2 linked regions of the Alligator mississippiensis genome follow. The main gene of each other region encodes a partner of the protein of the gene in region 2 in a complex. Links are inferred from orthologs where the notes say so. Each region holds a gene or a part of one and is shown on either strand. Other genes may lie near its edges.

The links.
Region 1: MMS19 (region 2) and CIAO1 share a complex: the UniProt entries of both Homo sapiens proteins name them as parts of the MMXD complex. The link is inferred for Alligator mississippiensis from reciprocal best matches to the Homo sapiens genes MMS19 and CIAO1.

Annotation. Positions count from the first base shown.
Region 1 is NC_081830.1:10,376,471-10,387,525, forward strand, and holds CIAO1 (probable cytosolic iron-sulfur protein assembly protein CIAO1), read right to left. Parts: upstream 4,546-11,055; 5' UTR 4,488-4,545; coding exon 4,322-4,487; intron 3,288-4,321; coding exon 3,139-3,287; intron 2,589-3,138; coding exon 2,477-2,588; intron 2,382-2,476; coding exon 2,293-2,381; intron 2,112-2,292; coding exon 1,913-2,111; intron 1,623-1,912; coding exon 1,535-1,622; intron 1,229-1,534; coding exon 988-1,228; 3' UTR 712-987; downstream 1-711. Other genes in the region: TMEM127 (transmembrane protein 127), read left to right, coding at 4,754-5,006. UniProt on the Homo sapiens protein: Key component of the cytosolic iron-sulfur protein assembly (CIA) complex, a multiprotein complex that mediates the incorporation of iron-sulfur cluster into extramitochondrial Fe/S proteins.
Region 2 is NC_081829.1:100,701,252-100,712,077, reverse strand, and holds the start of MMS19 (MMS19 nucleotide excision repair protein homolog), read left to right. Parts: upstream 1-5,382; 5' UTR 5,383-5,386; coding exon 5,387-5,489; intron 5,490-5,583; coding exon 5,584-5,632; intron 5,633-5,716; coding exon 5,717-5,817; intron 5,818-5,932; coding exon 5,933-6,018; intron 6,019-6,133; coding exon 6,134-6,208; intron 6,209-6,392; coding exon 6,393-6,462; intron 6,463-6,548; coding exon 6,549-6,677; intron 6,678-6,811; coding exon 6,812-6,873; intron 6,874-7,081; coding exon 7,082-7,168; intron 7,169-7,453; coding exon 7,454-7,528; intron 7,529-7,615; coding exon 7,616-7,693; intron 7,694-7,856; coding exon 7,857-7,995; intron 7,996-8,184; coding exon 8,185-8,339; intron 8,340-8,569; coding exon 8,570-8,684; intron 8,685-8,832; coding exon 8,833-8,958; intron 8,959-9,085; coding exon 9,086-9,167; intron 9,168-9,466; coding exon 9,467-9,564; intron 9,565-9,755; coding exon 9,756-9,881; intron 9,882-10,193; coding exon 10,194-10,349; intron 10,350-10,611; and 2 more. Other genes in the region: ANKRD2 (ankyrin repeat domain-containing protein 2), read right to left, coding at 393-528, 600-898, 987-1,085, 1,414-1,512, 1,776-1,883, 1,991-2,152, 2,339-2,485; UBTD1 (ubiquitin domain-containing protein 1), read right to left, coding at 3,970-4,355, 4,491-4,718, 5,111-5,174. UniProt on the Homo sapiens protein: Key component of the cytosolic iron-sulfur protein assembly (CIA) complex, a multiprotein complex that mediates the incorporation of iron-sulfur cluster into apoproteins specifically involved in DNA metabolism and genomic integrity.

The sequences.
Region 1 (11,055 bases), on a different chromosome or scaffold from region 2:
ACTGGGGGTAAAAGCAGGTAGGGCTGGGTGAAGATGATGGCTGGTTGTTCACATCTTTGTTTTCACACGTCTCCCCCTGCCAGGAAAGCAAAAGCCAGACCCATAAAAGCCACCCTGCTTGAATAGGGGAGGAGTGGACCGCCTTGCCCACGTACCCGTGGCAGTCACGTTGAGCCCAGTCCAGCTGCCTGGTTTAGACCCCGGCTCAGCATGTGAAAGCAGACAGTTGGGTGATCCCTCCCTGCCCACCCATGAAGGCTGAGCCCCACTGATCCCAACTGCTAGCAAATCTGGTCTGTGGCAAGGGGAGGGTGCTAAGGCTGAGGCTTCCTGGACTAAGGTAGGGGCAGCACATTAGCAAGGCTACAAATGGGAGGGAAGCCTGGCTTAAAAGGAGAAGGAAACTAGGGCCCCAATCAGCAGCTGCCCTGAGTTTGATGTCACTGAGGGCTCCAGTACCAGACATCTGCTGGGGCTTGGGACCATGGTCTCCCAGCCTGGCTGTTGGTTGCATGTCTAAAGCAGCTACATTAAATCCAAATCGAGACCTGGCTTGGTGCCACCAGTTCCCAGCAGCCTCTTCCCCTACCTGCATGCTGCAGGCTGGGCTGTGATTCTGGGGGGCTTCCGTCTATGGACCTTCGAAGTGTACACCACAGCATCTTGTACCCCCTGGACCAGGGCAGGGCATAAAGCAGAGGCCAGACCAGATGTGGGAGGCTTTTTATTGGGGCCTGGCTCCATTTGATGAGGGCAACAGCTGCAGCAGAGGAAACCGCACTACCCTTGCCTTGCTGCTGCCCACAACTTGGGTAACTTGAGGCCCTTTCAAGGAGCAGAGAACCCAATCCCTTGCTGTGCCACTGTCCTCTGGGGGCAACAGCACCACACTCCTGTGACTGCATCTGCCAGGCTTCCTGTTGCCCCAGGGTGGGGGAGACAGAGCCAGTGTCAGGCTCTGCAAGCTCAGAGCAGCAGGCTGAGGTCTCAGCAGCACTCAGGGCGCTGGTACTTCCAGAAGGCCACCTCCCCATCGTCGCTGCAGCTGGCCAGCAGCCCCGGCTCGGCAGGGTTCCAGGCCACACAGTTGACATCTTGGGCATGGGCTCGGGGCACGTGGGCCATCAGGGCAAAGGTGGGCTGCTGTGGCTCCGCCAGCGGCTCCTCCTCAAAGATCCGGATGGCATCGTCTCCACAGGCTGTGGCCAGTGCGCCGGTCAGGTGGCACCTGTGGGAGGAGGGGCTGGTACCATGGGGATTGCCAGATAACTCCTACTTGCCCCCCTCAAGCGTCACTCCCTTCCCAATCTACTCCGTTTTCCACCCCCTGCCAGAAGTTAGCCAAAGGAAAGCCTTCCTCCAGACAGGTGAGGGGGATACAGGGAAGTTGGCTTCTCCTGGTTCTAACAGCATTCAGGGCTCATTGGGAACAGCTGGCCATGGCTCAGTGCCCCCCAGCTCCCATGATAAAGGGGAGAGCCTAGAACCACTTGTGGCCCCAACCTGAGTTCCCCCTACTCCAGGACCAACTCACCAGGCCACATCATAGATGGTGCGGGTGTGGTAGCCAGAGAGGGTGCAGATGCACTTCCAGCTGGGCTCTGTGCTGCTACAGGCCACCCCTACAAGGCAGGAGAAACAGGACAGGGAGCTGCTGCCCCAGACCTCACAGCAGCGCTGGAGGCCACCCAGGGCTTCAGTGCACCAGGCTGATCTGGAAACTAGCAGCTCCCAGCATCCCCCTGCCCACAGCACAGCACAGCTGGGAGACAGATATAGCCCTGCCAGTGCCATCTAGCCACCCCAACGGAGCAGAGCAGGTGCTGGCCTTGTCACACCCTCACCAGCCCTTAGAGTGGAGGTGAGCCAGCCAGACTCCTGAGTCGTTGTCGCCCTCCCCACCAGCCCATACCTGGCTCACCCTGCTCATCACTGCTCCAGATGCGCACAGTGCGGTCATCACTGCAGGAGGCAAGTCGCCGGCCGGCCCCATCAAAGGCCAGGCCCCACACAGTAGACTCATGGCCTTCCAGTGTGGTGCAGCACACCCAGTCATCCTCCTCCTCACGGTACAACTTCACAGTGTCATCATAGCTGGCTGAGGCCAGGAGCTGGCAGGAGAGGCTGGGGTCTCAGGTGGGTTGTTTCTACCTAGTGGAAGGGGGAGGGATATCTAGGGGACAGGGTGCAATCCAGCCATTTTGGACTCCTTCCCCCTAGCCTTTCCCATCCTGCCCCACTGCCCAGAAGACAGAGGCTGGAGCCCCCTGGGGTAGCCAACCAGGATCTCACCTCCTGGGTAGGATGCCAGACCACGTGCTTGACGTCCTGTGTGTGAGAGTTGAGAACGCTCACACACTCGTACTCATCTTCTTCATCCACTGCCAGAGAGGACAGGGTTAGCTGGGGGACTAGGACGTAGCTAGAGGCCCCTTCCCTCCTACTGCCACCACCACCACACCCCAGCCTCTCTCACCTTCCCAGATCCACACACTCTTGTCACGGCTGCAGGTGGCCAGCAGGCTGCCGGATGGGGACCAGGCCACCGACTTCACCTCATTCTCGTGGCCTTCCAGCGTGGTCACGCACTGTTAGGGGGAGAAGCAGTTAATACCAGACCCCAGCAGGGATTAGGTTGCAAAAAAGCTTGGCTACAGGTGGCCAGAGTTGGAGCCAGTGGCAAGGCCAGGCACTCTCAGGGCAGCTGTTTTCTTCTTCTTCCGTCTTCTTCTTGCTCAGACCTAGCCATGGAGCCTGGATTTGATCCACCAAAGGTAGGAGCAGTAGTCTCGGCTCCCCCCAACCACTTCTTCCTGCCCTACACTGCCTGAGGCTTGACCCTCTGCCCCTTTCTGGTGCCCCTGCTTAGTACCCAGGGTTCATACTCCTCCTTGCATGCACCTGCTGGCCCTGAACATGTGGGACATAGCAACCAGACCCAAGCTGATGGCAGGGACAAGATGAGCCTGAGGGAGGTGGGGCCAAGCAGGGGCAGTTCTCAGGCAGCCCTGATCACACCTGGGAGCAAGGTGCGGTGCACAGCTGGGGTGCCTGGCTGCCCTGGGGCAAGGTGTCCCAGCCTGGAGAAGGGGAGGAGGGAGGGAAGAAGGGCTGGTTCTCTACCGCGCCTCACCTCACCTCAAAGCCATCAGGCGTCTTTTTCCAGATGCAGGTGGTGGCATCAAAGCTGGCTGAAGCCAGGTAGTTGCCACACAGCGACCAGGCCACCTTCCGCACTGTGCGCTGGTGCCCTTCGTCTAGCACTGCCCGGCAGACCCAGCTCTCGCCTGCAAGGAACCACACGTCACACTGGGGCCATGCCCTGCTCCCCAAAAAGTGTGTTGTAAATAAGACAATATGGCAGTGGTGCTATGCCAAGTGTCCCCTGCAGTGCTGTCCCCACTCCCCTACACACAAGGTGCATTATCCTGTTCTCGGGGGTGTATAGGTGAGACATTACCAGGGATCCGGGTTTTCTGTTTTCCACAGAAAAATAGAGAAAGCCACAGATTTCCCATTTTTTCATAGATGCTAGGGTCAGAAGGGATCTCAACAGATCATTGAGTCCAACCCCCTGCCTAGGCAGGAAAGAGTGCTGGGGTCATATGACCCCATCCAGATGCCTACGCAGCTTTTTTTAATCAGAGAAAAAATGGGTTTTCCCTTTTAGAAGGGAAACCCATGGATTTCCCCCTTTTGCAAAGAGCTCTGCAGGCTGGCTGAGTTCCAGCCTCGCTGAGTTCCAGCCTACAAGAGCTGTTTGCAAAACGGGCAGGGAACCCACCACCCCTGTCCAGAGGGGAAGGGAGAGGGAAAATGTCAGGGCCTGACAATTGCATTTACCATAGGCTGTTTCAGGCTCACTCTTCTTGCTAGAGGTAAGTGGGGCTTGGGGGTTGTGGGGCAGGGCTGGGGTGCAAGTTGGCTGGGGGCTGAGAGACTGGAGAGGCTTGCAATCTGGGGGGGGGAGTGCCTGGCCCCGCCCCCCCTGGCTCCCTCAGCCCCCAGCCAGCTTGGGCACTCCTTGGCCAGGATGGGGGGTTTGCAGCCCACTGAGCACTCCAGCTGGGAGCAGGGAGGCTGCAACCCCTTCCCCCTGGCCAGCTGCAAACCCTGGGTCGCAAATGCTGCACTCCCCCAGGCCCTCCAGAGCACAGCGTGTGCAACTGGCGCAGCGGGGCCGCACAGGAAAGCTGCTTGCTGTTGTGAGCTCTGCGCTGCCCTGGCCACGCTTAGAGGGGACGTGTAGGTGGGTAAATACGTCACACGGCGTGTGCTATGCCGCGCAATACGGTACCGCGCCCTGCCCCGCCCCGCTCACCCTGGCGGCCCCAGACGCGCACGCTGCGGTCGCCGCCGCACGAGGCGAGCAGGGCCCCACCCGGGCTCCAGGCCACGAACCAGCAGCGCGAGTCCGGGTGCGCAGCCAGGCGGCAGCTCAGCGTCAGCGTCGCCATTCCGCTCCCGCTAGCCGACCCCGCACGCATGCGCCGCGCTGCCGCTCCCGCCTGGGCGCCGCAGTGGGCAACGGGAGCTCACGGCCGCCAATCGCTAAACGCCGTCGCAGGAGAGGGCGTGTCTCAGCGTCATGGCGTCATGGCGCCGGCCGTCAGGGAGGCGGTGAAGTGCGCGGTGACGTAGTCGCCGCCGGCCGGAAGCGGGGAAGCGGAAGCGGAAGCGGCGCCGGGGGTCCTGACGCTGAGGCGAGGCCGGGCCGGCGGCGGTTGTTCGTGGGACGCCGGGCCCGGCCGGGATGTACGCGGCGGCGGCGGGCGCGGCGGGACCGGGCGGGCGAGGGGCGCGGCGGCGGGGCGGCGGCGGCGGGGCCCTGCCTAAGCAGCCCGAGCGCAGCCTGGCGTCGGCGCTGCCCGGCGCGCTGTCCATCACGGCGCTGTGCACGGCGCTGGCCGAGCCCGCCTGGCTGCGCCTCCACGGCGGCGTCTGCGCCCGCCAGGAGCTCGGCGTCGCCGACGTGCTGGGCTGCGTCGAGCCCGCGCTGCTGCGAGGTGAGCGGGGCAGGGGGCTGAGCGGGGGGGGCCCTGGGGCAGTTGTGGCGGGGCTGGGGCGGCTGAGGGTGTTGCTCGGTGCTGCCCGCACACCCTGGGCTGCCCCGTGGCCCCTCCGTATCTCAGGCCGCTCCCTAATCCTGGAGCTGCTCTATGTTGACGCAGAGCAGGCCAGGCCGGGCCAGGGGCTCGGACCCTCTGTACCTCTCTGGGAATCCTCTGGGTCAATCCAGGGACCCACACACGGGTGTTTGTTCCTGTCCAGGCTCCTGGCTCCCGGCCCCGGCCGTGCCTGGCTGAGAAGCCCTGGGCTAACTGGTCGCCAGCAGAGGTGACTTCTGTGCTACAGACCCTGCATCCCCTGTTTCTTTGGCCGTGCGTGAGAAACTCATGCATTCTCTGCCATGTTCTAGCAGGGAGGGGTCCGGGCATGCCAGTCGGCCCCGGTGGTTCCCAGCTGGGGAAGCAGCACAGGGACGCCCCACTATCCTTTTCAAGGTGCCTGGCAGAGTAGCCCCATCCGACATGCAGGCACCTCGACGCAGTCCAAGAGAAACCGAGAGGTTTCCGATAGAAGCCACCGTGTCCCAACCCTGCTGGCTTATTGTGGTCTATCCCAGGTCTTTGCCTCAGGGAAGGAATGGAAAATGTCAGCTCTGGGCTTTCCCAAGGGGGCCCTAGAGTCTAAGGAGGTTGAGGACCCCTGGTGTGGGTGCTAGGAAAAAGCTCTGTTCAGACAGCTTCCTCATTGACTGCTGTCGCTGGGACAGGAAAATGGGTCTGTGGTCAGGTTTCTAAGCCTCCGAGCCAGGATCCCTCTTACAGCTGTATTGAAACGCTTGGTAGGAAAGTCATCTTGTCCCAGGATGTACTGCTTCTGCTTTGGGGCTAAGGTGCTGAAGGGCAGACATGAAGAAGAGGGAAAACACCTTCTCTTTTGCTGGATAGAGGAGGACACCAACCAGCGGCTGGAAGTGGCAGCCAAGGAGGATAAAGTTCAATCTCAGGAAAAACTTATTTTCTGTTAGAACAGCAAGGCAGTGGGATGCCCAGGGAAGGGTGGACTGGAGGTGATCAGGAGGAGTTTGGACAGCTGCTGGTCAGAGGTGATCTAGGTATAGCAAGGGGTTTCAAACTTTTAGTACCAGTGTATCCCTGGCGGGGGTGGAGGGGTGCAGTTGAATGCAGAGCAGTCATTGTGCGCAAGCTTCTCTCACACCCCCCACTATCTCCCATGTGCCTGGCCAGGTATGCGGCGCCTGCGTGGCAGCATGGGGGGTAATACATGGCGGCACTCCTTGCCCACCCACACGTGCCTCTTGGGGCCTTCTCAAGTACCGCCAGTTGACAACCCCTGAGGTATAGCAATGCCTGTGTTTTACTACAGGGATTTCCCAAGCTTCTGGACTTTGTTTGTTGCTCTTCTTCCTTCCCTTCCCCGCTAATTTTTGCTAAATGCGTCAGGGTGTTTTTAATCCTCCCTCAGACTCGCTGGGTGTTGGCTGCAGCCCAGGCTGAGGACGGTGACTAGGCTGTACCAGTGTTCCTGCTGGGACTTAGACCCAGAGGGTCCTGGTTAGAGGGTCTTGCTTCTCTGGTCATGCTCAGATTAAGGCCAGGAAGGGGTCATTTGGGGTCAGGAAGGAATTTTACCCCCTGGTCAGATTGGGAGGGACTGGCAGGGGAGGGTTTTGCTTTCCTCGGCAGTAGGGGCATGGCCTCTGCCTGGGATCTCTTGAGCATCTATTGACAACATTTCATAGAAGCAGGACATTGGCTGCAGTAGTTCCTCTGCTTTCCTTGTGGCAAGTTTGGGTGTTAGGTCTCTGTTGTGTCAGGGCTGAGGGTAGTCTTATGGAGAGTTTAGATGATGGATTTGTCTGGAATGGTTGGATAGGACTGATCCTGCCTCAGACAGGGGGTTGGACTCAATGTGACCTCTGGAGGTCCCTTCCAGCCCCACTTTTCTGTATGATTCTTTGATAAAGGACTTTGTATCTCCAGGTTTTCAAGACTTTTCTCTGTCTAACCTTCTTGGAAACCCAAAGTCTTCAGGAAAAGCATGGCTCCCCATTTTTCAATTACGTTTGTTCTTAGCCCTGCCAGGAAAGTCACATCCTGGCAACACCAGAGAATGGGGGAGTCTCGGTGGAGCCAGGACTCTTTCATTCATTTTGGTTTTGTTGCCCTTGTGGCATTTCTTAGGTCTTTGCCCTGTTCTGTTGCAGCTGGGGCCTTAGATCTGCATGAGCATTAGGTCTGGCTGAGTGTTCCCACAGATGGTTTCCAAGAGATTACATTCCAGGCACCTCATTAGACAATTCTTTCAGCTCAGAAAACGGTCCTCACGTGGTGTGTGTAACCCAGGGTTTTGCTCTTACTCGGCTTAAGATCTTTGGCATGGCGGTAGCTGTGAGGTTTATCTATCATAGATGCGATGGAGAAAGCCATTCCAGATCTAATGTCGCTAGTTGGCACTCTGTTAGCTTCTTGGTAACTCTGCCACCAGGAAAGGTCCCTACAAAAGGCCCAGGTGGCCTCAGCTGCCGACTAAAGTGAAGGCACTCCAGGTACAAAGACCATATAGGGCAGCAGTTCCTCCCCTCTTGAGACCCAGGCCCCCCTTGGCAAATCCCAACTCTTCCTTGCACTTTTTTCTTGTCTATGGAAAAATCCCAGAGCAATTCTTCTGTGGCTAAGACCTTGGCAAGCCCCCAGCAAGGCTGTAGGGTTTGGACACTGGTTTCCTATGGGCAATCTCTGGGTTTCTCCTGTGAATCTTTACACTCATGCTACCACTAATACGGTATAGTCCACTTCAGAGGATCTCGCAGTACCTTGGTCTTAAGAGTGGCTGATGGCCACAGATAAACTATCTGTCTTCAGGAGCAGAGAGAGGCAGTTAGTTAACTGTGATAGTCTAGAGTCAGGCCTAAACCAGGGTAGAGTTGCCCCTTATGGACTAACCAAAACAAATTTTGTAGCATCCTTCGAAGCCAGTTGCTACTTCCCAAAGGCCACATATCTCTGAGACTCTGATTTTTCTTGAAGGTGCAGCTCTGCCCTGCCTATCTTCCTGGAAGGTGGGGGGAAATTGGAGCTTCAGTTTCCTGGTGCCTGTGTCTGTCCTCAGGACAAGGGAACTGGAAAATTGGCTGTTTGCTTGTTTGCATTGTGAGGCAGGATGTTTTCTCCTGTCCAGCCAGGTGGCCGTGGTCTCGCAGCAACATCCAGCCTCTCCTGGGATCTCACAAGAGCAGATTCCATTTGTAAATGTTGAGGTTCCCCCCTAAAATAACCCCTGTCCTCAGTTACCCTTGTATGAGTCCCTCCTCTGAGCTCCAGCAACAGCTGCCTGTTAGTCCCTCTGCAGTGGGAAGAATATTAGGTCTCTGCCAAGCTTTGGCTTTGAGCACAGCAGTCCAGAAGTTCATGTGGTTCCCTCACTCTCTTCAGGATTCCCCATCTCCAGTCAGCAATCACCAAGGGTCCTTTGCACCCTATATGATCATCTAGTTAGACTGGGGATGGTGAATGGGATGTGCCAATGCTTTTGCTGGAACTGAAACCCAGCGGGTCTTTGATAGAGGGTCTTGCCATCTGCTCAGGCTCAGACAAATGCTGATTGGGGTCAGGAAGGAATTTTCCCCTCTGCCTAGACTGGTACAGAGTGGGGGATTTTTTGCCTTCCTCTGTAGCAGAGGCCCAACCTCAACCTGGACTCTCTTAGCCACCTGTTATAAAAGCAGGACATTGACTGCTGCAGTCTTCCTGCTTTCCCTGTGGCAGGTTTGGGTGTGATGTCTGGTGCTGCATCAGGGCTGACTGTGTTGTTTTGCTAAGAGGATGGACGTTGGATGCGTCTGGGATGGTTTTGACAGGGCTGATCCTGCCTCAGACAGAGGGTTGAATTAGATGTGACCTCTGGTGGTCCCTTCCAGCTTGATGTCTTTAGGATTCCCACCTCATTGCCACAAGAGCCTTCCCCTCTCCAGCCCCTGCTAGTGACCACCAGACACAGCAGTTTGGTGTGGGCCTGGGGGCTCCTGGTTAGTTGCCAAGCACTGGTTGGTTGTAGGGGGGTGCCGCAGGGCTGAGAACAGCCTTTGCTGGGTTTAGGACCATACTGCCAGGCTGCTCCTAGGCCAGAAAGTTGTGGAGCTAGTTGTGCTGGCAGCTGTCGTGGGATAGTGAGTGTCAATAGCTGCATTGCAGCTCCTTCTCCAGCAGCCTGGCCCGAGGTCATCCCTGTGCCCATCACCACTTCCTTGGCCTTCCAGGCTTCTTCCTTTTTTCTCTGTCCTCTTCTATCATCCTGGTCCCTTGCTCCAGCCTTGAGATGTGCCAGGTCCTTCTCCTCTTCATCCTCACAGCAGCCAGGGGTGTAACGCTGCTGTCCCTAAGGCACCAGCCCTTTGAGGTTGAGCAGCTACTTTCCCGGCTGTTTCCAGGCACTCAGGAGTGTTGGAGATGGCAGGTCCCCTTCTGGGATCCATTTTGTGTTGACAAATCAACACTGCCAGGCCAGCAGAGCCAGGAGCTAGTGGCAGGACACTTCTTTGCCTCTCCTCCCTAGCCTGAGGCAGTGGGGTGAGTGTCCACATAAATGAACCCGAAATGTGGCTCTGGGTGGAGGTGGGTGCTTACTGCAGCCCCTGCTTTATGATGGCAGCATGCCCATGATGGATCTCTTGGCCCCAGGGAAAGACCTGACTGGTGTGAGTCATCAGCATGGAACCGGGGACTTCCGGACTCTAACTGCACCCTCATTAGCTGAGTCACTGGATGCCTGTCTGCCTCTCCCACTTACTTCCCACTGCACGGGAACCTCCTCTGGTCTGTTGTTGGTAGTGGTGGGGATGACCTGCTGGAGAGCAAGAGGAAATTATTTCCCTCAAGTTCATTAGGGGACAGTAAAGTGTAGCCCATCCCCCTCCTCAAGGGCTCCTCTAATTCCTTGCATCTTCTGCTGCTCTGCTTTCTCCTCCCTGCCCCCTCCCTGATCTGCTGTGTGCCATGCACAGGGCCTTCGTGTGTCAATTGTAGCATGTGTGCTGCAGCTTGCTCCCCCCGGTCTAGTCCAGCTTGTAGCTGGCAGTTGCCTGTGTCAAGTTTTTGCCTGCATGTTACCATCACCATGGCAACAACGTTTGTGTATCAATGGGCAGTAGCCCCAGGTCAAGCACAGCAGAACCACACAGGCTCAAACCAGGGTTTGAGGCACCAACGGCCCACAGACGAAGGCAAATGAGATACCGGTAGGAGGCATGTTGTGGTCAGTCCCACTGAACAGGCTCTGACTTCAGCACCCGAAGAGGAGACCCAACGAGTGCCACAAGCTCCACTAGTTCTATACTCCCTTGTGTACCACATGCCCCCAAAGGACGATGTGCTGTATTTGACAGGGCAGAATAAAAGAGAAGAGGGGTGCCCTGAGACCCTTTGAAGAGTGCCACAGAAAATTAGCACTGTTTGGTGTGCAGACACCCATGCACAAGTCACAAGAGACATCAGAAGGTTCCCAGAGTGTCCAACCACCCTGACCTGCTGAGTTCTAATCCATGAAAGAATTGCTCTGGGACTTTTCCATAGAAAAACCAAGAGCTGGCACTTTCCAAGGCAGAGCTGTAATTGTAGAATCAACAATCTGGATTCATCAAAGAGCTGGAAGATGGCATAGAGTGCATCCTTAGCATGTTTGTGGATGACACCAAGCTGGGTAGAGCAGTAGACGCACTGGAGGTGGGGCTAGATTTCAGAAAGATCTAGAATTTGGAGGATTGGCTCAAAAGAAATGTCAGGAAGTTCAACAAGGAGAAGTGCAAAGTCTTGCACTCAGGACACAACAATCCCATGCACCGGTACAGGCAGGGGGGGACTCGCTGGCTAATCAGCAGCTCTGCAGAAAAGGCCCTGGGGGTTACAGTGGACAATAAGCTGAATAGGAGCAAACAGTGCTGCCAAGAAGGCTAATGGCATACTGGGCTGCATTAGTAGGGCTGTTGCCAGTAGATCAAAGGAAGCGATTGCTCACCTCTATTTGACTAGT
Region 2 (10,826 bases):
GCCCCGTCCAAACCAGCCCAGACAAACCCCATGTCCAACCTCAGAGACACGTCACAGTCGTCCCCGACACAGCCCCAGGCATCGCCCCCGCCCTGCCCCCGGGGCACAGCGGGGCCGCAGCCACCAACGTCCTGCTGCTGCCAGGGGTCGTGGGCGCTGCAGAGCCCAGGCCAGGCCGTGCCCCCGCTGCAGAGGAAGGCAAAACCCCCCAGTCTGCACCAGTCTGACCAGGGGGCAATCCCTTCCTGCCCCAGCACAGCGCGGGGCTGAGCCTGCGTGCGGGGGCAAGACCCTCCACCAGGACCCTGCGGGGTTGGTGCCAGCAGGAGCATTGGCACAGCCCAGCCTCAGGCGCACACGGTCCTGGACCCGCTGCTGTCCACCACAGCACTTTATTGCTGGAGCCTGCGCCCGCTCTCATGCCGGCGCCTCCGTGTCCACCTCCACCCTGCTCTGCTCGGGGGTCTCCAGCGCCTGCCGCGTGTCCGTCTGCCACAGCTGCACCAGGTCCATGGGGGTCTTCCCGGCCTGCGGGGTGGGTGCAGGGGGTGAGGGCAGCCCGGCGTGGCCTCACCCCGTGTCCCTGGCCCAGCACTTACCAGGTTCTTGGCCAGCATGTCGGCCCCGTAGAGGAGCAGCATCTTGATGATTTTGTAGCGGTTGAGCCGCGCGGCGTCATGCAGGGCCGTGTCCCCCTCCTGTGGCCATGGGCACCCACGTCACCAGGCAGTGGGGCCCGGTGGCCTCCAGACCCCCTCCCGCCTGCATGCCTGGGCCACGGAGCAGGTACAGCACCTACCCTGTCCACAGCATTGATGGCCACGCCGACGTGGATGAGGTGCTCTGCAATGTCGGCGTGGCCGGTGCGTGTGGCCACATGCAGTGGGGTGCTCAGGAGCTGGGGAGATTGGCGGGGGAGGAGGGTGTTAGCCCCCAAAGGGACCCACGGGGGTGGCACCTGCCTGCACCCCCACCCCTGCACTCACCTTGTCCACGAGGTTGAGGTTGGCACCGTGGTCCTGCAGCAGCTTCACCACGGCCAAGTGTCCCCCACGGCAGGCCCAGTGCGCGGCCGTGCAGTCCAGCTGCCCACAGATGCTCACGTCAGGGCCAGGCCAGCCCCTGCCTGGCCACGTCCCACAACCCCCCCCACCTGCCCCACAACTCCCCCTGCCCCACCCACACCCAGGACCCCATGCCCCTCACACTGCAGAAAGGGTGACCAGCCCTTGCAGGAGCAGCCCCCTGATTGGCTGCTTTTCCACTAGGGGCAGGGCAGAGGGGACGGGCAGCCAATCAGACTGCAGTAGGGCTCCTCCGCCACCTCTGGGGGCTCTGGGCTGATCCCCAAATGCTTCCTCCAGGTGCCCTCCCCAGACCCGTGGCAGGGACAGGGGGCTGCCCCCATCTCACCCGGTCCTGGAAGTCCACGGTGGCGCCGTGCTCCAGCAGCTTCTCCAGGATCTCGATGTGCCCCTCCAGCGAGGCCCGGTGCAGCGCTGTGCGGTGGAACTGCCCCGGGGCAGCACCGCCATCACTGGACAGCCCCTCCACCTTCCCCACCCCGAGGGCTGCGTCCCCCGCCTGCACCAGGCGCCTGCAGACCCCTGCCCAGCACCCAGGGGCACAAGCAGCCCTGCCAGGCACAGAGCAGCTGTGCCGGGTCCGTAAGGGCCAGACGGACCGCAGCATTGCCAGCCCAGCCGGTGCATCGTCCCTCCGCCCAGCTCCCCGGCGCTGCCCGTGGGGGGCCCAGGATGGGCTGGGGGCACCACCTCATCGCAGGTGTCCGGGGAGCCGCCGTCAGCCAGGAACTTCTCGACGAGGCGGAGCTGGCCCCGCACGGCCGCCCGCAGGAACGTCTCCGGCACCACCGCGGCATCCTGCCGGGCAGGGGGACATGGGACTCCTACACCCCAGGACCCCGCCCGGAGGGTGCTGTCCTGACCCCCAGGCCCCACTGGGCTCTGGCTCAACCCCAGCCCCTTACAAGGTCCTCGGGCTCCGGCTCGGGCGCCGGCTCAGGCGTGGCGGCCCGCTCCTCCCGCCGGCGCCGGCGCTGCTTGCGCAGCTCGATGAGGTGCTGGATGCCGCCCACGTCGATGATCTCGCGCCGCAGGTCCACCGAGCTCCTCCGCACCCGCTCCTGGCCCTGCACCAGGGAGGGAGTGAGGTGTCTGCCTGGATCCCTGCCTCGTGGTGCTTGGCCATCAGCGGGCTTCTCCCCCCTACTCTTGACCCTGCCCCGGGCTCCCCCTGACCACGGCGGCCACAGCTCCTAGAGAGCCGCCTGCCGGGACGAGGGGCCGGCCCAGCTGCGCCCCCCCACACCCCTCACCTTGAGGACGGCGATGCCGAGGGGAAGGGCCCCCCGGTGCTTCTCATCCTCCAGCTCCTGCACCTCCATCCGCACCAGCGCTGGCGGCTGCCCAGAGCTGCTCTGAAACCCAGCACAGACACCCTCAGCCCCCAGGCTGGGTGCCATTGCCCGGGTAAGGCGCTAGATCCGCAGGGAAGGGCCATCGGGGCTAGCGCCAGGGCTCAGCCCGGCTCCGGCGTCCCCGGACTCGCCTGCTTCGCCGCCTCCTCCTGCGCCAGCCTCTGGTCGATGAGCTCCGTCGCCCATTTCAGGTCCTGCTCCACAGTCGCCGCCATGGCTCCGGCCCTGGGCACCGCCTGCCCTGGCGCTGGGAGCTGCGGCGGGTCCTCGCTGCTGTGCCCGCAGCTGCTCGGCTGCTCCAGGCTTTATGCGGCGCCCAAGGGACAGGTGTGCCCGCCCCGTGACTGTGACCGGGGGCTTTTGTCATGAGCTCACCGGCCACATTCTCCCCGGTCACCTTCCCGCAGCGCTGGGCATCGCCCTTAAAGGGCCCCAGGCACAGCAGGGGGACCGAGGGGGGCTCCGGCCTGTGGTGTGGGCAGGAGCCAGAGCCACCGCACCGGGGCAGCAGAGCGCTGGAGCTGGTCACCCCCTGCCCTGCGGCAGCCCTGGGCCCATCCCAAGCCAGTACCCCAGGGCAGCTCTCGATGCCCCTGGAGCTGGGGTCCTGCTCCATGCCGCACATGCTGCTCCCTCCGCGCTGCTGTGGCAGATGACGTCAGGCACTGGCACTTCCGCCAGCCCCCAGGGACACGCTGGCCAGACCCCAGCCTGCCTGGAATAACTCGGGCAGGAGCTATTCCTGTCTCTGCGCACCGCGCGCAGCCCCGCTGGGACCAGAGGAGGGGGCAAGGGAGATGCCACAGTCATCACCGCCCGAGGACCACGAGGCAGGCACGCTCCAGCCTAGAGCCTGAGGGTGACCTTTGACCCTTCCCTTCTGAGGTCACGGGAGGTCGCTGCCTCGGTGTGCAGTGGGGGTCCCTCCCCCAGGTCCTGCACTGGGAAGGCGACAAGCTGTGCGCTGCAACAAGCCGGGGTGGGGGGCACCAGGCAGGGAGCGTGGAGCAGGACCCCCCACCAGCAGCCCCCGCACAGGCGTGTGCCGGCACACACAGGCGCACGCTCGCTGCAGCCCTGGGGCTGAGGACAGGGCGCTTGGAAGAGCAGAGCCAACAGGAGCCAGGAGCTAACCAGCAACGGGGAGGAGCCGGGCACAGGACCCCCGGGGGTAACGTGGCCTCGGTGCCACTGCCCCCGTCACCATCCAGCATCCCCGCAGACCGCCGAGCTGGGAAGGATTTATTGATAAATACAGAGTACGGACACGGCGGCCCCGGCCCCGCGGGCGCCCTGCACCGCGGCTCCCGCTGCGTCTCCGCTCCAGCACGAGCAGCACAGTCCAAGGGGGCTCAGGCGGGGGGACCCCGCCAGCCCCCGCGGGCACCGCCCCAGGCAGCGCCTGTCACAGGAGCGGCCCAGCGGGTGCAGGCCACTCCTCCAGGGGCGCGGGGGGGCCGAGCCCCGGTGCCCGTCCACGCCGGGGCCAGCCCGAGCGCCGCGGCCTGGGGGCCGTGCCCACCGCCGGGTCAGTTCCTGGGGGGCGGCGGCTGGCTCACGATGACCTGGACCACAAAGTCCTTCTGCAGCCGCGTGTCCTGCAGGCGCGTGCGGTCCGTCAGCAGCTTCCCCGAGAAGAACCAGCGCTGCCAGGCGGGCTCGATGCCCTCGCGGGCCTGCAGCTGCCGCTTGAGCTGCCCCACCGTGTCGGCCATGCTGGCGCCCAGCCGCACGTCCCGGCCCGTCGACAGCCGCACCTTCAGCGGGAACTCGCGCCGCGCGCCCGGCGCCGGCTCCGCCGCCTCGGGGCCCTCGTCCTCGCCGCGCTCCTGGATGAGGTTCACGGGCGGCGCCAGGCAGTACACGGGCAGCTGGTACCGGTTCCCCAGCTCGTCGTAGCACTCGGTCAGGGAGCCTGCGCCGGGCACAGCCGGTGAGGGCCGGCGCGCTGCCCACCCGCGGCCCCTCGCTGCCGACCCCCGGCCGCCACCACCCCAGCCCGTCTCTCCCACCCCCGGGGACCGGGCCCCCGGCGCGGCGCGGCGCCTACCGTGAGGCAGGGTGATGCTGGCGCCGTCCAGGATGGCCTGGGCCAGGCCGTGGTCGCTGGCCTCCACGGCGCCGGCGGCCGCCTTGAGCGCGTCCCAGATCTCGGCGCGGCCCTCGAAGGCGGGCGCCGTGTCCCAGAACTCGTCGCGCTTGCTGCGCAGCTGCCCGGCCGTCATGGGGTAGTCGCTCTTCCACTTGGGACGCTCCTTGCGCAGCGGCTCGTTGCGGCCTGCGGGCAGCGGCACGGTCAGCCGGCGAGGGGCTCTGCCACCCGCTGCGGCCGCGGCCCCGGGCATGTCGCCGGCGGGCGGGCGGGCGGGCGGGGGCGGCAGCACGTCCTGTTGCTCCGGCTGCCCCAGCCCGGCCCGGCAATTACTCGGGCGCGCCCGGCCCGTGACGGGAACCAGGCGTGAGTCACGGCCGCAACACCCCCCCCCCCCCGCCACCCCCCACGGCCCGGCCCGGCCCGGCCCGGCCCGCGCGAGCCTGCCCCCCCCGCAGCCCGGCCCGGCCCGGCCCAGCCCCCCGTGTGCCCCCGTCGCGGCGCGGTGCCCGTGCCCGTGCCCGTATCCCCGGGGCGGGGCGGTCCGGGGGGGTTACGTAACCGGCTGCCCCGCTCACCTGCCCGCTTGCGCGCGTGTCGCGGGCCCGGGGCTCGGCGCGGCCTCCCCACGCAGCCGCCCATGTCCCGCCCGGCCCGGCCCGGCCCGCCAGCCCGCGGGACCCGGCTCGTCCCGGCGCCGCCAGACCCGGCGGAGGGAAGCGGGCTGGGCCCGGCCCGGCCCGGCCCCGCCCCCCACGTGCCGCGGCCCCGCCCCCGCGGCCCGCCCCTCGGCGCAGGCCCCGCCCCGCGCCCGCGCGCTGCCGGGCCCGGGTCACGTGCTGGGGGCGGCGCGCATGCGCGGGGCGAGGCGGGGCGGGGCCATGGCGGCGCTGCGGGCGCTCGTGCATGACTTCGTGTCCGGGCTGCAGGACGGGCCCGCGCCCGAGGTGGCGGCAGGTGCGGGGCGGCGGGGCTTGCACGCGCGGCGGGCGGGCGGGCGGGCGTATGTGTGTGCGCGCGTGTGTCACCTCTGACCCTTCCCGTCCCGCAGGGCTGCGCGCCGGGAGCTGGACGGCGCTGGACGTGGTGGAGGCGCTCGGGTAGGAGTCCCGTCCCCGTCTCCGTCCTCGTCCCCTTCCCCCGCGCCGCGCCGCGCCGCGCCGCGCTCACCGCCTCTCCCCCAGGTCGTCGCTGGAGCACCCGGAGCCGCGCACACGCGCCCGCGGGCTGCAGCTGCTGGGCCAGGTCCTGCTGCGCTGCCACGGCGCCCTGCGCCACGCGGAAGGTGCGGGGCCGGGGCCGGGGCCGGGGGCGGCGGTTCTTGGCAGCGGGGCTGGGACCGGGCTCGGGTGGTGGCGGCGTCTGGGGCAGGTGTGACGCGCGGCGCTCGCTCCCCGCAGTGACGCACCTGGTGCTGTTCTTCGAGGCGCGCCTGAAGGACCATCACCTGGTGATCCCCGCCGTGCTGCACGGCTTGCACGCGCTGGTGAGTTCACGCCCCCGTGCCCCGGCCACGCGCGCGGCACCTCCGTGCCCCGGCCCCAGCCCACCCAGGGGCGCGGGGCAGGAAGGGCTCTCAGCCGCGCATGCTCTGTCCGTAGAGCCTGAGCGAGGCGCTGGCCCCGGGCCTGGCCGTGTCGGTGCTCAAGGCCATCTTCCAGGAGGTGCACGTGCAGGTGAGCAGCCCCCACGTCCCCTTCAGCCGCTGGGATGTAGCGCATCCAGAGCGACACGTGTTGTGCTCTGCACGTGCTCCCAGGCGTGCGCTGCGTGTGCGGGGACGGGCTGTTGCCGTGGGCCGCGGGGTGCTGCCCTGCACAGACGCGGTCGGGGTGGCGCTGACACCTCTCTGCCCCGCAGTCGCTGCTGCAGCTGGATCGGCACACGGTCTACACCATCATCACCAACTTCATGCGGACGCGGGAGGAAGGTGCGGGCCCAGGCCCCGTGGGGGGGGGGGGGGGTGCTGGGGTGCCAGGCCCTGAGCGAGCCCCGTGTCTGCTCCCGTCCCTGCAGAGCTGAAGAGCCTCGGCACCGACTTCACCTTCGGCTTCATCCAGGTGATGGACGGCGAGAAGGACCCGCGCAACTTGCTGGTTGCCTTCCAGATCGTCCGCGACCTCGTCCTCAAGGGCTACGCGCTCGGTGAGAGCCCCTGTCCCGCCAGGCGCTGCCCACCCCCCCGGGCTGCCCGGCGCCGGGTCCACAACGCTGCTCCGGGGCCTGGGCCCAGGCGGCTGTGGCTGGCGCTCAGCTTGCGGCTCCGCTGTCTCTCGCAGGCCCCTTTGTGGAGGAGCTGTTTGAGGTGACGTCCTGCTACTTCCCCATCGACTTCACCCCGGTGAGCGAGTCCGTCCGGAGCCGCAGCCCCAAACCAGACCTGCCCTTCCGCAAGAGGGAGCCGGGGCTGGGAGCTGTCCAGAGGGTCTCGGCACCCGAGGCGGGGGCAGGTCTCGCATGTCCCAGCCTCGCCCCTGGCACCTGTGCTGGACCAGGCACCGCACCAGGAGCCTCTGCTGAGCCCTGGGCTCCTTGCGCTTCTGTTGCAGCCCCCCAACGACCCCCACGGCATCCAGCGGGAAGATCTGATCGTCAGCCTCCGCGCCGTGCTGGCCTCCACGCCCCAGTTCGCTGAGGTGAGATGCGTCAATGGGGGTGTGGAGCTGCGCAGGGCAGGAGGGCTGCAGCGTGCGGTGGGGGGCTGGGACACTCGGCTCCGGGCACCAGCTGCGCTCCAGCGCTCAGGCACCCTCGTGCCGTCTGCTCAGCTCCTTCGCTGCTGCTCAGTGGTGGGAGGAGGGTCTGTTGGGCCAGGCTGGCACTGGGCACCAGGCTGAGGAGCAGCGTCTGGGAGCACCAGGCAGCAGCCACCTGAGGCCCCAGCTGGAGCCAGGACCCTGAGACTGAGCCCATCCCCGCAGTTCCTTTTGCCGCTTCTCATCGAGAAAATGGACTCGGAGCTGCAGAGCGCCAAGCTGGACGCCGTGCAAACCCTGGTGAGCATTGCTTCCACCCAGCCCGCCAGGGGCCCCAGAGCCCCAGCAGGGGCTGCACCCTCACTCCGCGCCCGCTGTGCCCTGCAGAGTGCCTGCTGTGCCATCTACGGGCCCAAGGAGCTGCAAGAGTTCCTGCCCAGCCTTTGGGCTTCCCTGCGTCGGGAGGTGAGTGAGGCCGGTAGGGTCCCTGCCAGAGGTGGGGGGCAGCCCACGTCAGGTGGGTCAGGAGGCTACAGTGGGGGCTCGGGCTGTGGCCCCTGTCCTGGGGCGTGGGGTACACGGTCTGTGTAGGCCTGGGCCCTGCAGCTGCCCCCACCCCTATCCCCAGGTGTTCCAGACAGCGAGCGAGAAGCTGGAGGCAGAGTGCCTGGGTACACTGACAGCACTGGCCGCCTGCCTGTCCCACGCCGTGCTCCACGCCGACACCCACGACCCGCTGGACACCTTTCTCAGTGGTGTGCTGCAAGGTAACTGTCCCGGCTGCATGGCAGATGCTGGTGCCAGCTTGGGGAAGGGGCTGACCCGGTGTGATGCCTTACACAGGGTGGGCCGTGGCCGGGCTGAGCTGTCCCTGGCTCTGTGGCCGTGAGCTGGCAGGCACGTGTACCTGTGTGCGCGTTCACCCTATGGCTGAGGTGCCATGTGTGTGTCCCCAGACTGCCGGCACCACCTGTGCGAGCCTGACATGAAGCTGGTGTGGCCAAGTGCCAAGCTGTTGCAAGCCGCAGCCAGCGCCTCACTCCGGGCCTATCACCACATCGCTGGCAGCGTCCTGCCCCTGCTGCTGGAGCAGTACAACCAGCACCCCCAGGTGAGCGCCGCCCGGCAGCATCGGTTCCTCTGGGGTCACACGGCCCCACGGGTGGGGTGCAGGCTCTGGGGTATGCAGCAAGGTGCCGGCATCAGGGTCCTTCTCTGGTCTGGGGGTGGGGGGTCTCTGCAGGGCTTGGCCCCACGGTGCCTTTCTCTGCCCCCGGGTTGGTGGCAGGGTCGTTGGAGCTAGAGCACCCCCCGCACCGGTGCTGACCCCCATCCTGGCAGGGCTGTAACCCGGGCCCGGTCTTGGCTCCTGTGCAGAGCAGCCAGCGGAGGACGATCCTGGAGATGCTGCTGGGCTTCCTGGAGCTGCTGCAGAAGTGGGGGCACGAGGAGGGCGGTGAGTGACAGGGTTCTGCCCGTGGCTCAGACCCGCTCCAAGCCGTCGCCTGCCACCCCCTGCTCCCCCTGCCCCCTCCGAGGTGACTGCAGCGCAGCACCACCCCAAAGGCCTGCGTCCCAGTGATTCTGCGTCCATGTGTCCGCAGACGAGACCGTCCTGCTGGGCGTCCGTGCCCCGCTGTGCTCCGTGGTGTTCTCGGCACTGACGGACCCCAGCGTGCAGCTGCAGATAGTGGGTGTCCGGGCCCTGACCGTGCTGGGCGCGCTCCCAGGTGGGTGTCCTGTACTCTGGGTAGGGGTGGGGTCTCCCTCGGCGCCAGGCAGGGTCCTGGTGGGGCTGGGGGTGGAGTTGGGTGACGGGTTGTTCCCCACTGGGCTACATCTGATCTCCTGGGACAGGGCTTTTGGTGGCCTCAGACCTGGACTTAGCTGTGGACCATTTGACACGACTCGTTCTCCATGAGGAGGATCCCCAGAGCAGGTGAGCAGGGCCAGGTGGTGTGGATGGGTGGCCCGGGGCTGGGACTGGGAGCACCGTCCCCAGGGGGAAGCAGCTGCTGGAGCCGAGGGGCGGTGTCAGGTTTGGGACAGTGGGGCTGAACCAGTCGGGGACGGGAGCGAGACCAGAGCAGGCTCTCGTCGGCACCAAGGCAGGTTACAGGCTGGGCCCGGTCAATCCAGAACGGGGTCCTGTGGACCAGTGCCTGCTGCCGGCAGACAAGGCAAGGCTGGGGCACAGGTGCTCCTGCTGCCTTCACCCAATCTCTCCCCTCTTGGTAGCATGGCAGCGATGGAGGCCGCAGGCACCCTGGCACCTGCCCACCCTGGGGCCTTCACAGACCACATGGTGCGGGCACTGGCACAGGAGCTGCAGACAGGTACAGGGCTAGGGACTGAGGCCATGTGCTGTGAGCAGGGCCACGTGGGGAGGGGTCTGTAGAGGCATTTGCAGGAGGGAGGAACAGGAAGCCCACTGGTGCCCGCAGCAGCTTGCCCTCAGGGCCAGGGCTGGTGGGGTCCCAGCTACGGCCCTGGTGCCAGCCTCCCCACCCCATGCCGTGCCTTCCAGAGCGGGAGGATGAGGGCACCCGGCACCAGCGCTGCCTACAGGCTTTGGCTGCTGTGTCCACCCACCCCAGCATTGTGCGTGAGACCGTCCCCGTCCTGCTGCAGCATCTCCGCCACCTGCAGAGAGGTAACGTGGCCGCACTGTGCAGCACCCCCGCAGCGGGGTGGGCTGTAGGGGGGCACCCAGGACTGAGCTGGGCTGGCAGGGGCTAGGATGCTGGGCAGCTGTGGGTCAGAAGTGGGTCTCAGGGCACTGCAGGTTCGGGGTGAAGGCCCCCACAGAGCTAAGAGGCTGCAGGGTCGGAGTGAGGGACACTTGGCGGGCAGGCGGTTGTGGGTCAGGAGTGAAGGGCGCTGGGGGGGGGACTGCTGGCCTGGGGGAGGGGAGGTATGGGGGGGCCAGCGCCAGAGGGGGTGCTCATGGGCCCTTTGCCTGCAGGCAGCGAGCCAGGGGACACTGGGAAAACGGCATCGCTGTGCCGCAGCCTGCACCGCGTGGCTGTGCAGAGCCAGCACGACCCCGAGAGCTGCAGCTTCTACCACCAGGCCGTGGTGCCTTGTCTGCTGGGCCTGGCCCTGCAGGCTGCCCTGCAAGGTGAGTGTGGGGCTGGGCTCGGGCTGGGGCTCCTGGGTTCGGGCCTGAGGCGTCCAGCTGGTGCCTGGACCATCGGCTGAGAGCAGAGACACCCCTTTGCCAGGTCTGGGTGCAAGGATGATGCTGCAGTTGGGGGTGGGGGGCTGGTTGGGTTCCCCTCGTGCCCCTTCACCGGGTCCTCGTAGCCTGGATCAGGGTGTCCCTGGATGCAGGGGCCAAGGCCCCGCGGGTGCTGACCATCCGATACTCACCCTTCCCCCAGAGGATGCTCTCCTGGCGCCAGGCAAGGCGCTGCTGGAGGAGGAGGCTTTGACCTCCATGGTGCCCGTCATCAGCGCCGCCAGCACCCACCTGAGCCCCGAGTGAGTGCAGGGCCTGCAGGCAGGGAGGGGGCCCAGGGCACACGTTTGCTGGCAGTGCTGGGATTGAGCACCGTGGCCTTGCTGCAGCTCTGCCCGGCTCCTGTGTGGTTCTGCC